Linked DNA regions of Drosophila melanogaster. The protein of the gene in region 1 interacts with the protein of each later gene in a pairwise test. Each region holds a gene or a part of one and is shown on either strand. Other genes may lie near its edges.

The links.
Region 2: the proteins of BtbVII (region 1) and CG32121 interact in a two-hybrid assay, tested with the Drosophila melanogaster proteins (one study listed by BioGRID).

Annotation. Positions count from the first base shown.
Region 1 is NT_037436.4:3,146,953-3,151,766, reverse strand, and holds the start of BtbVII (BTB-protein-VII), read right to left. Parts: upstream 3,122-4,814; 5' UTR 3,080-3,121; intron 3,068-3,079; exon of another isoform or gene 3,030-3,067; intron 2,866-3,029; exon of another isoform or gene 2,846-2,865; intron 2,635-2,845; exon of another isoform or gene 2,607-2,634; intron 2,140-2,606; 5' UTR 1,785-2,139; coding exon 1,614-1,784; intron 1,553-1,613; coding exon 925-1,552; coding exon of another isoform or gene 910-924; intron 840-909; coding exon 595-839; coding exon of another isoform or gene 583-594; intron 504-582; coding exon 395-503; intron 1-394. Other genes in the region: Usp5 (ubiquitin specific protease 5), read left to right, coding at 3,722-4,235, 4,297-4,814.
Region 2 is NT_037436.4:13,416,248-13,424,337, reverse strand, and holds CG32121 (uncharacterized protein), read left to right. Parts: upstream 1-2,001; 5' UTR 2,002-2,016; intron 2,017-4,212; 5' UTR 4,213-4,243; coding exon 4,244-4,357; intron 4,358-4,927; coding exon 4,928-5,251; intron 5,252-5,354; coding exon 5,355-6,409; intron 6,410-6,481; coding exon 6,482-6,935; 3' UTR 6,936-7,762; downstream 7,763-8,090. Other genes in the region: CG33263 (uncharacterized protein), read left to right, coding at 170-853.

The DNA.
Region 1 (4,814 bases):
GTACACAGTGGTTCAGATTTCACATTGATTTGCTTAAGAGAACATAGGTGACAGTGCTTATCAGTTCAGTGAACCCCTAGTCAGTTCGCAAATGATACCAACATTGTAAAGCTATGTTCTTTCAGTCATGCTCGTTTCAAAAAAGTCAAGTCATTTCTGATCTATACACGTTTTCCCTCTTGACTCCTGCTTAGTCTATAGTGTGTCAGCTTTCTTTTGACTACGAATTGCAGTTAAGTTGTCCGTGATTTGTGTTTTTTAAAGTAATCAAGGCAAACAAAACTAAGAAACGATAAAAAAAAAGAATCCAACCTGGCGAATGAGATCCCTACCCGATGAACAATGAGCTTTGATGGAACAGTGTGCTGGCTTTTGATTTCCAATTGCGACTTACCCGAGTGCGAGGACTGGGAGTTCGGCGCATCGTGCTCGGATGGTGTGGTACCGCCGGAGATGTCCAAGGGCATCGTTTGGTTCACGCCGCCAATGTCGACTTCGGGCTTCTGCACGTGGGCACCGAGAAGAAAAAGAAAACAATTAGTGACTTTGCTCATGCGGACGAGGGTACAAGGTTAACGTGACCAATTTCATTACAATTTGCATGTGTAAGTGTCCGTGTCCATCGTCAAGATCCGAGTCCTGCGGCTGCTGCTCTAGCTCAGCGCTGGCCGACTCCTTGAGCAGCTTAGCCGCGTGCAGTGAGTGGCCGGCCAAGCCGCCGCCCGCACCAAATGTCATCTGGTTCATCTGGGCGAGACTGAGACCGGCGTTGCCGGCACCACTGCCCGCGTCCAGTGAGCTGTTGTGCTGCTCCTCCGCGTTGTTGCGATCGCCAGAACCTGCGTTATTACGAAAACCGGTTATTTTTTGAGACCTTACAATTTTGGATCTATCACGACGATGCTTTACCCAACTCCAACTCACCGTTATTCGAGGATTTGCGCAAGCGCTTGCGCCTGGTGGCCGGCGAGGTTCCAGCGCTCAAAGGCGACGGCGTACGTCGCATCTGGTGGTGATGCGTCTGCGCCGCCTGCGCCTGTCCGCTCTGCTGCTGCTGATGGTGGTGGTGATGGTGCTGCTGCTGTTGTTGCTGCTGCTGCGCCTGTTGTTGTTGCTGCTGCAACTGCTGCTGCTGCTGGTGGTGATGGTGCTGCTGCTGTGCCTGTTGCTGGGCCTGCTGTTGCTGCTGCTGCTGGAACTGTTGGGCCTCGCTGCTGCTCCACAGGGAGTCGCCGACGCTGCTTCCACTGCCGGCTCCCAGGCTGCCAGCCGAGTTGCCCGCTCCAGTGCCCACTCCCGCACCGCCCACCATCTCGGTGCCGTCGGTGGAGGACTTGCTATCCGACTTGGTAAGATTGGCCGGATCCGTTGGCATCTCCGCTAGGCCTTTGATCTTGAGCATCTCGGCGGTCTTGAGGATGTGCGGCAGCTGCTCCTGCGACACATTTACCTCGCCGTAGTACATAAAGTCCACCATGGTCTTTAGGTCATCGTACTGCACGTCCTTCAGGATGACAATGGGATGTTGGCACGGATTTGTGGTGAACAAAGCCTGTCGAACACATTTGAGTGTAATTCGTAAGGGATATACGCTGCGGCGATCTCCAACTTACCTGAAAGTACGAGCTGCAGGCGGATAGCACTATTTTGTGGGCCTGTAGTTGGCGACCCTCGGCTGCCAGGGTGACGTCCACCAGGGTGCCATTGTGCAGCAGCGAGGAGCACACGGAGATGAAGTTCGGCTGGTGGTTGTTCCACCGCAGGCAGAACTGCTGCACGGACATGATGTCGAGGGGTCCGGATCCGCGTCCGGGATGCGGATTTGGAGCTCCCTAAACCTCAATCTCCGGAGCAACCTCCTCCTCCTGCTCCCGCTCCTCCGCCTCCTGCTTCTTTCCTTCTTCGTAGCCAATTAATTCGCACTGATAACACTTTTTATCGCCTCCCGCTCGCCTCTATTGATTTTTATTAATTTTCCTTGCTTTCCGGTGTTTTGTTCGCTTTACTTTTTCGCTCCGACTTTTAATCAATTTAAATTTATGAACAATCGCAGTCTGTACATGTGTGTGTGCGTGTGGGGGGTCGGGATCACGGTTTTTTGGGGGGCGACGACTTCTATGCCGCACGCATCGCGAGTCACTGCAAAAAGGGGTAATAAAAATGGGGTTTAAATAAATCAAACATTATCGATGGTTACACAAATTGCTCAACAACAAATTCCACTCTCTCGCTTTCTTCCTCTCTCTCTCTCATCTGCTTTTCACAGCTGCGCGCTCTTCTCGCTTACAATAAAAAATCAAACAGAAACAACAACATCGGCGGGACTGCGTGTGTATGTAATTATACAGTCGCGAAAATGAAACACAACACACACACACACTGGAACACAACAGCCATACTTGTTGTTGTTGCTGCTCACTGGCCAAAGTTTTATTTTTGATAAAACCGAGAACGTAACGAAATCGTATAGCTTTTTGTATAGCCGCAGTGCTGTAGACCTTGAATTTTCTTTAATTCTTATGACGTAATTATATACGCGCCCCGCGCTCCTCCATCTCTTTCGCACTTAATCGCCTTCCCCATTCCCGTCTTCCTCACTCTCTCACCCACACAGACGACCGCCGACGACGTACTAATCGCTGCTTCTTCGTTTATTCATCGTATCGATATTTTCAGTTTTCAGTGTTTCAGTCGTATTTATTTATGTGCATGTCGCGCGTTATTTTCGTATGTCTTTTAGAGGCACAAAGATGATGCTCGAACTAGCCAAGCCGCCACATGTTATTCACTCGCTTTTCCCCCCACAGAATTCCTTTTCCTCTTGCTTTTTATCGCTTTTACAAACTTTGACTTTTTGTGGTAGGTTTTTGCTGTTGTATTTCTTCTTTTTCTTTTGCTTTCCAAAAACAAAATGGCGCGCAACAAATTTATGCGAGGGGCAAAACAACGCCGAAAACTGTTAGAGCGAGCTGAATTTCAATGCCTTTGACTGGCTCACTCTTTGCGCCAACTTTTTTACCACTTTTTACATTATTTTAATGCGGATTTCCTGGCGAAAAACGCATATGAAAATTCTTACGTTTTACTTCTTTATGCGAAAGATTTTTGTGACTATATGGCAACTTTGTATACAACGAGTTGACAGGTCGCTTAATAGTGTGACCAGTCCTAGATCAAAACTAGTATCCCAATTGTTAAAGATTGTCCCAAATTTTAAAATAATTTGTTTATTGTATTTAAATGGTTAACATTTGAATTGTTGTTTTAAAATGTTGACTTCGGTTATACATCTGATGAATCACAATCGGCGTTGCCACACTTTCCCCGCATTGTTCGTACTTAACGGAACCAGTTCGGTTCCCTTGGTGACTCGCGAATTTGTTGTTGGCTTTGGCTAGAGATGACAGTATTGAATAAACAACGATAGCCTGCAGCAGTCAAATTAAACTAATTGTGCTTATTGGGCGGCCAAATACGTAAATATCACTCAAAAGCCGTTATAAGGTACAAAAATAAGGGTAAGAATTGTTAAAAGCTGATTTCAACCAGTAAAACACCATTTCAACCCATCGATATTCGCATATCCATGCTCGCCGGTATCGATGCATTTTCCCATGTTCATCTCTAAGCAGCAGCTGCAAAAAAAATCAACTATACTATTTTACATTCGGTCCGTAAAGTTTATGAGAAAAGAGCTGCCTACAGGATTCCAGATACCGTTATGGAGGAACTACGCAAGCATTTATCCAAGGTGAACGTGCCATGCGCATCCGGGGCGGGCAGTCCTCCCATCTACAAGGACGAGTGCGTCTACTCCTATGACAATCCCGAGACGCCCACCGGTTTGTACGTGTGCCTGCACAGCTTTTTGGGCTTCGGCGAGGCGTATGTGCGGGAGTATGCCGACAAGACCGGCAACCGGGTCTTCCTCCACATCCAGCGGGTGAAGACGATCAAGGAGGGCGCCGACATGGAGGCCGAATGCGCGGAGTCGGAGGCAGGACCGGAACGGAAGATCACCCGCCTGGCCATTGGCGTCGAGGGCGGCTACAACGAGTCGGACATGGCCAAGAAGTACGAGATCAAGGACACGTACAGCATCGTGGTGGCTCCGCACCTGGATAAGAAGCTGCCCTATCCGGATCCAGAGCTGCCCATGCGTGTCACCCAGTCGGTGGAAGCGATCCTGGCCGCCGACTCGGCAATTGCCAAGTTGGAGAAGGCCACGCTGATGGGTGAGTTGCAGGATTGTTATCCCATGCTGACGAAGGTAGCCTAAAATCAATAATTTTTCAGGCACCTGGGATGGTGAAGTGCGTCAGGCGTCGAAGTACGCAGATAACCTGCAGCAGCTGGATAATGGCAAGAGGATTCCCCCATCCGGCTGGCAGTGCGAGAAGTGCGACTTGACCAACAACCTCTGGCTTAATCTGACCGATGGTTCGATCATGTGCGGACGCAAGTTCTTTGACGGCAGTGGCGGCAACGATCACGCCGTGGAGCACTACAGAGTAACGGGTTTCCCGCTGGCGGTGAAACTGGGCACCATCACCGCTGATGGCAAGTCGGATGTGTTCTCCTACCCGGAGGATGAAATGGTACTCGATCCACACTTAGAGCGCCATCTCTCCCACTTTGGCATCAACATGGCGGCGATGAAGAAGAGCGAGAAGTCGATGGTGGAGCTAGAGTTGGACATTAACCAGCGCATCGGCGAGTGGACGGCGCTTACGGAGAGCGAAAGTGAGCTGCAGCCTGTTGCTGGTCCTGGATACACTGGCATGCGCAATCTGGGCAACTCCTGCTACATAAAC
Region 2 (8,090 bases), about 10 Mb from region 1:
CCCTTGACATATTTATTGGTAGAAAGATAAAAATTGGCAACATGTTATTTGGGAAGATATCAACCACAAGTGTAACGATAAGAGTTTCGCAATGAGGCTTGAAAATTGCCATAAATAGGGATCGCCAAACCTCATCTCTATCAATAAAGTGAACCAACTGAATAGCACCATGTCATTTAAACTATCTTTGCATTGTCTGCTGATCCTGGCAGGATATCTCACTTCAATTGAAGCCGAAGTTTTCCCGCAGTGCGCAAATGCTCCATTGGATACCTTTGTCATGGCCATCGAAGATTGCGCTTCATACATCTATTGCAATGGAGAAGACTCCTTCCGAGACAGCTGCCCCGAGTCCACCTACTTTGACGATCGAACCCAAGAGTGTGCCTTTGATGATGAGGGTGTGTGTCTAAGGAACTCAGACTCAGTCCAGACTGAGGAGCAGCCCGATAAGCAAACTACTGGTGAGGAGCAGAGCGGGATCGAAGAAACCACTCCCGTTCCAACACCGCCTTCTGATTACGCCTCTACAGGATCTGCGGACTCTTCTACTTTCCAAGCTGATTCTACAACAACCCCTACAGAATCAATTCCTTCAGTGACTGAGCCACCGACTACATCTGCTACGCCATCCTCCCCATCTGCAAAGCCTTCCTCTCCAGCTCAGGAAAGGCCGCACTGCGACATTTCCGGAGATGGTGACCATCCTCATCCCCAGCGGTGCGAGTACTACTACAGGTGCCTCAGCGGCTATCTGACCATTGTGAGATGTCCTTACAAGTATGGCTGGGACTTTCCTACAAAGCAATGCAAGCCTAGCAGCGAGGCTCAGTGCTTTAGTTATAGCTACTAGATTTATCTTTAGAAGCTCAACTTTGATCTAAATAAATTAGATTAGATTAGGCGATCTGTAGGTTGATTTCAAATCATTTTATTAACTTTTATACATTTATTTATATGTTCTTAAGATGAGGCTTTAACTTTGATCATAATCAAAAATAAATGAATAATTTCCTGTATGCACTTTATTTTTCTTTCTTAGAGTGTACATAGCAATCACGTGTGCATTTGCATTGTCAGTCAACTAGATAGTTGTTAGTGGTACTTTGACATTTAACGTACGTTTTATGTAAGGAATTATCCTTGAGTGAAGGGCTTATATACACATTGAGCTATTTACAGCCTCCAAGCTACGCGGCTGCTAACCCAAATCGAGGTGCGCACAGATGACAATAATAAATAAGTATTTGTGGCATTTTAATGAATTGAAAAGTGCATAATGAAGGTGCTGGGTGCCCGATGACCAACGGCGTCTCCATCTGGCGGTTCCATTTGTATTTGTCAGGCATAATTCACAAATCCAACGCGCAGGTATATGAATTTATTTTCGGCGGGCAATTTTCAAACGGCGGCAACTGCTGTCGCCGCTTCCACATTTTATTGCAAATTAATAATGCACACGATCCCGCAACAGTAGCAGCCGCCGCTGCACCAACAAATTCCTCCGCCTGTCGGCCAGTCGTGTCAATTGTGTCTAGTGGCGGAGTGGTCGCAGTTCCTGATTATGATGATGATGATGATGATGCCCTCATGATGATTTGCCACTGGCAAATGTTTTGATTAACTAACTGCGGGGCAGCCAATTAATTTTTGGCCAAGAGGCTTCACACTGATCGCGAGTACAAAACCGCTGAGATTTCTCTTCGCTGCGCCGATGCGGCCTGCTCATTAATTAAAGAACATGGAATCGGGCGACAAACGGATCCGCCCGACATGCTGAGAGCCAAATTCGAATCCGCTAAACAAATGGCAACAGCAGCAGCAACAACATTTGGGCCAACAGCAACACCAACAAGCAACAGCAGCAGCTACAACACCAACAACAGCAACACAAGATAGAGGAAAATTGTCAAGAGATGGACATTCGAAAAATAGAAAATCTCCAACTAAACCGAAAGAATTGAAACATTTTCGGATTTTTTCATTTCAGATGCGAGCAGCAAACGGTTAACAAAGGTGCACGCTTGTCCCGTCGCGAAAATCGCGAAAGGGAAAATTCGTAACGGACGCGGGGAAAATGGCATTAGCAAAATATGTGTGAAAAGCTAGAAAAAGAGAAAAATAAATAAAACAAAAATGTGAAGGATTCGTTTAACGAGAACCCAGTGATAAACATAGAACCGAGTGATTAAATTATTCAAGTAAATTGTGTAATGTCGCTGCGAGCACAAAAGGAGATCTTCAATGTGAAAGATAGATAAAAAACAAACTGCGTGTCATAAAAACACTACATAAAATAACATGAGTTGAGGGAAAATATTCAATTTGATGATCGCCACGAGCATCCCATTAGCATAAAAGAAGTCAATTCGAGATCCTCAACCATAAGGGTTAGCCATAGAGCTCTATTATTAGACTTCCCCAGGGGCAGATATGCTGGGCCACTGGATTATGCGTGATTCACATATACCGCTGATCGTGCGAATTCTATATTGAAATTCAAATACCTCTCGGAAAAAAACAGCGTTGACATCAAATTTATGTGCGCCACATTTCATGGAACAAATGAAAGTTAAACAACAATAACAAAGGCAACGCAGCGAAGGCTTAAGCATGATTTCATTTTCTATCCACTTCCCTCGACATTCTCAACGAGGCGTATGAGTGATTATGTGTAAAATATTACGCATCAACGAAATAGCTTCGAAATGAACCAAAGCTAAAGGCAAAGCCAAATCCAAATCGAAATGAAAACGATTGCGAGGTGCTTTGGAATGAATTGCCATGGATGACAAAAGGCAGGCACTTGGACAACAAATCAAAATAGACAGCATGGCGAGAGCGTTTAGCACAGATCTTTATTTTTTGGATGGCTATTTAAAACAACAGCCAGAGGACGGTACAGGAGAAGGAGGTGCCGAGCTGAAAGGCTGAAAAACTAATTTCGGAAAATCAAGTAAAAACTGAGCGAAATACCAAAGAGTTACGGAAAAGAAGGCTGCCTGACTGTCACGACAACACTTTCTTGTGTGAACGAGCGCCAAAAAGGCCGCGCCGCTCCTCCTCCGACCCTCCATCTCGAGTCGCCATCCACCCCAATCCCCATCCCTCCAATCCCATAGCCAGGCATCCATTGTACCCCATCAGGCATGGCATGGCAAGGCAACCTCCACCATCCATCGTCTCTCAATAGAGAAATGCTTAGATGCGATTCTCAGTCCCATGTGCACACATAATGGAATGAAGAAAATTCCGTCGTCCAACAATTGCACGCTGGGCTAGCTAAAGTGCAAAGAAAACCAAAAGACTCGGACTTGTCACTTCGCTGCGGATTTGCATTGGCCGGGCTGCCTGTTTTTGGGGGGCCTCCAATGGTCGTCGGTGCAGCAGCAGCAGCAGCAGCATAGACCGAGAAATCCCCAAAATCCCCCACATACCGACATACCCACCCCAGCTTCCTTGGACTAGCTTCTTATAAATAGCCCTCGGACAAAAGTGTGAACCGCCCGCCCGCCCAGTGCATCACATGCGATCCGAACAATGGAAATTGCCAAATTTATAGTGTACCCAGAAACCCACAGTGGCACTGCGATCAGATCGCCCAGGCCAGGCCAGCCAAGGAAAACTTATTTTATTTAAATAAATTTGGTTTAATTGCCAGCAAAGAACACAAATAACACTGGCCGTGTCTGTGCGTCTGTGTGTGTGCTGTTTTATTGTAATTCCGATTCGTCAACTGGGCACTCACCGAAACGGCCGAGTAAATCAGCCCGTTGACTTGGTCATCAAAACATAGAGGAGTACTCGACAATCCGGATACCTTGGAGGAGCTGGCAGCAATCTAAAGATGGATCAGGCTGTCATTAAATCAAATTATGCCGTTTCCCGGTCCCCAATGACAAACAACCTCCGCGACCCGCAAGATTGCGCATAACGGGGCGTATGAGTAATAAGCCAACTGCTACGACATAATACGTATACGCCTCGTGGTGCAGACGCTCTTCTAGGCGGCCAAGAAGAGCGGACACGAAAAGTGTGTGTGACAAAACGTTCAATAAATAAACAAACCGAAATGCAAACAAACAAATTATGAGAAACGAAAACAAAGAAGCCAAGTGGGCTGGGGCAAGGCGAATAGAATTTGTTTACCTCTCCGACATCCGACATCTTGCACATTCACTAATTGCATTTACCCCCTTACTTCCATTGCAGCTGGTCCATGTGATCCAAACCCAAATGAATTATGGAACATGTAAATAGCACTAATGCCAGACAACCGCAGCATCATCATTTTGATCAGCAGCTGCAGCACAATGACAGCCAACAGCAATTCTGCCTGCGATGGCATAACCATCAGGTGAGATCCTCCAGATAAAATTCATTTGAATTTTCATTTGTGGGGGGACTATATTCAACATTACCTCATAAGTAAGATCCATTAGAATGGACTGGACATCGTTCAGTGAAGCGAGCAGGCCGAAAGTAAAATGTCGCCGCATCTATATATAGGATCCATCTATCCAAACACATTCCCCTATACGTACAGATTCACACATAGTTTTCCGCATTTTCATATAGTGACAATTTTTGTGTTTCGGCCCAAAGGGTGTAATGCGGTGAAAGCGGGGCAGCGGTGAAACTGGCTGTCCAAAATAGCAAAACAGCCAAATGGACAAAGAGTAGTGAGGAGGAGTGTTCAGTGTGTGTGTCACATAAATGAACAGATTCGTGCAATTGCCAAAATCCAAAGAATTTCCACAGCGAGTAAATCGAAAAGTTGGAAAGCAGCTGCAGCCAACCCCTGTCCCCTGTTACACCGCAGACAGAGGAGCATCATGGGGCCCAGGAAATTGTATTTTTATGATCGTGTGACCCACTTATGAGCACTTTTCACATCCCCAACCCCATTCCCTCTGATCCCTTCCAGACAAGTTTGCTGAGCACTCTGCCCATTCTGCTGGACCAATCCCATCTGACGGATGTGACCATTTCGGCCGAGGGACGCCAACTGAGGGCCCATCGCGTGGTACTGAGTGCCTGCAGCAGCTTTTTTATGGACATCTTCCGGGCTCTAGAGGCCAGTAACCATCCAGTCATCATCATACCAGGGGCCAGCTTCGGCGCCATCGTCTCACTGCTCACCTTCATGTACTCCGGAGAGGTGAATGTATACGAGGAGCAGATACCGATGCTGCTCAACCTGGCCGAGACACTGGGCATCAAGGGACTGGCCGATGTCCAGAACAACAATGTGAGTAGCTCAAGTGCAAGATCTAGTTAGATAATTTAAATAAACTTGTAGTTTTTCCCTGAAACTCATACGCCTTTCTCTTTGGTCTCATAAATCCAAGCAGTTACCAAAAACAGCGAGAAGTGGAGGTGGCTCCTACATGGATACGACGAATGAGAAGTCCTCTGAGTTTGAACGTCCCACCACACCCTCGCCCACGCCCACCCCCACCCTTACGCCCTCCCACACGCCTACCCCAAGCCATTCACTCCCCCTGCCCCAGCTACCAAGTGCAGCACTTAACACCCCTCTCCTGGCCAACAAACTGGGATCGGTGAACTCCAGTGGAATGGGCACCACGCCCCTGGAGAATCTCTTTAAATCACTGCAGTTCTACCCCAGTCTGCTGCCCCAACCACTCAACTTCTCGCAGACGGCGCTCAACAAGACCACTGAGCTGTTGGCCAAGTATCAGCAGCAATGTCAGCTCTACCAGAGCGGGATGCAGGAGGATCAACTGGAGACGGACTGTTTTGGCTCCAAGAGGCTAAAGGGCGACAGTCCGCCGAAGGAGCTTAGGCGACTGGAAAAAAGCCTTTTAAAGAATCCAAAATCCTCATCGACGACCAACAGTAGCAGTAGCAAGTCGCCTCAGGAATGCTCCAACCCGAATCCCATTGTGGCCACTTCACCAGTAACTCTCGCTCCCCCGACCATGGCACACTTCTCCCCTCAGTTGCCGGTGGTCAAGTGCTCCTCGGCTAGTTACCCCAGCGCTCTCGGCCAAGGTCAACTCTATAGTAGCAAGCCACCACTTTATAGTGCAGCAGTCACGCCGACTGCCGCCCAGCAGGCGGCGCAGATGCACCACCACCCGCAACCCGGGCCATCGCCCTACATCTCGGCCGAGGATCATGCCAAGCTGCAGCTCCACATCGAACAGTATCAGCGGGAGGCGGCAGCAGCAGCGGCAGCGGCCGCCGGCGGAATGGCGCTGGTCAGCGCCAAGTCGGAGCCCAATCTGCTCTCGCTGAGCGCCGACCGCGACAAGTCGCTGGCCACCGCTCCCATCAAGCCGCCGTCCAACTCGAAGCTCTATGCCACCTGTTTCATCTGCCACAAGCAGCTGAGCAACCAATACAACCTGCGCGTCCACCTCGAAACCCATCAGAATGTTCGGTAAGTGGTCTGAATTTTAATTGTTATAAAACAATAGAAGTCACCTTTGGAATTACTTTTCGATTCCATCAGGTATGCCTGCAATGTCTGCTCCCATGTGTCCCGCAGCAAGGATGCCCTGCGCAAGCACGTTAGCTACCGACATCCTGGGGCGCCATCGCCATGTGAAAACGAGGCTCGCCGGAAGAGGGTCTCCAAGCTAGCAGCGACCACTGTGCCCACTTCCACGCCCATGTCCATGAGCGCCAGTCACACGGTCACCAGTGGCGATGTGGGTCCAGCTCCAGCGACCACACTTGGATGTTCGGGTCAGGAGGCAAGGAATCCGTACCTTTTCCTGCCCAATCAATTTCAGATGGCTGCTGCTGCAGCAGCCGTAGCAGTGGCCGAATCCTCGCCAGCTTCTGGTCAACCATCGCTAGACTTGGCACACGAAGCGCCACCGAGCATCAAAAGTGAGCGGGAGCCACCGACGGCGAGCAACGGAGAGGCGACCGGTGTAGAGGCATCGGCGTCAACCACCTGAGGATAATTTTTTTGAATATTTTTGATTTGTTCAACTCACCACACAAACACGCACACAGACACAAGGAGTACGCCCACCCATGCACACGCATATTGTTGGGTGACCGATGAGTGGTGGAAGGAAAGGGCTGATCCCTGACTCCAATTGTAAATCCGCTCAAGGGTGGTGGAATCTATTTCAATTTCAATGTTTCCGAACTTCGAATCCAATTTCAAAAATATTTAATCAGCAAGCGTAATCAAGCTTAATAATATCATTTTGAAAACACTTGCAAAACCATTTAAATTTGCATATTCAAAATGTTTTTTTGTATTGAAAGTATATTTAAAATATCTCAAGTTCAAACTTTGATTTTTGTAAGAAAGATTACGCTCTTCGTTATTTTTTGACATCTAGCCCCATTATTTTACCACTAAGTATGATCGGATTTTTTAACAATGTCAGAGGAGCCAATTTTCATCACCCACTCATGAGGTGCCCAACATATGAATATGTCAACTTTTAGTCCCACCGAAACCAACGTCTTAGACCCGGCTGTGATAATTAGCGCAATTCGTTTTTCGTCTTCTGCACTCGAGCGCCTTTCTAGCTATCTTAATTTATGTACTTACGTTTAGCACAATTTACGTTTATTTTTTCTGAAACTTTAGCAACCTCCGAGGCTCTCAAACTGCAAGTTACAAACACAATCCTTTCGCTTTCACGCTCTCTCACAAGCACACGTCCACACATTCTAGTAATCTAAGCCAAGTTTTTATAAATATTGTAATTATACACCTGAACACGCACACACACTTGCACACAAAAAGACAGGGTGAAGACCTACCAAACCAAAAAAAAAAAAAAACACAATTTTCAAAGGAATAAATGTTTAAGAAGCCAAAGAAATTGTGCGTGTTTAGCTAATTTTCCCGATCGCAACCAAATGGAGAAAAGTAATCGGCGAGCTATGCAAAAACTAGTATATTTCATTTCATAATACAATAATTTATGTACGCTGGCGTACTTTACATATCTTTGTGTTTCCTTTCGTAGTTCGTAGTTCCAGTAGTATAAAAATTGTTCGAAAAACACATACGAAAATGATAGTGGGGCAAAGTAGTTGAATATCCATGATATGATGATTAGCAAACACTTTTGGCTTAAAATTAAAGA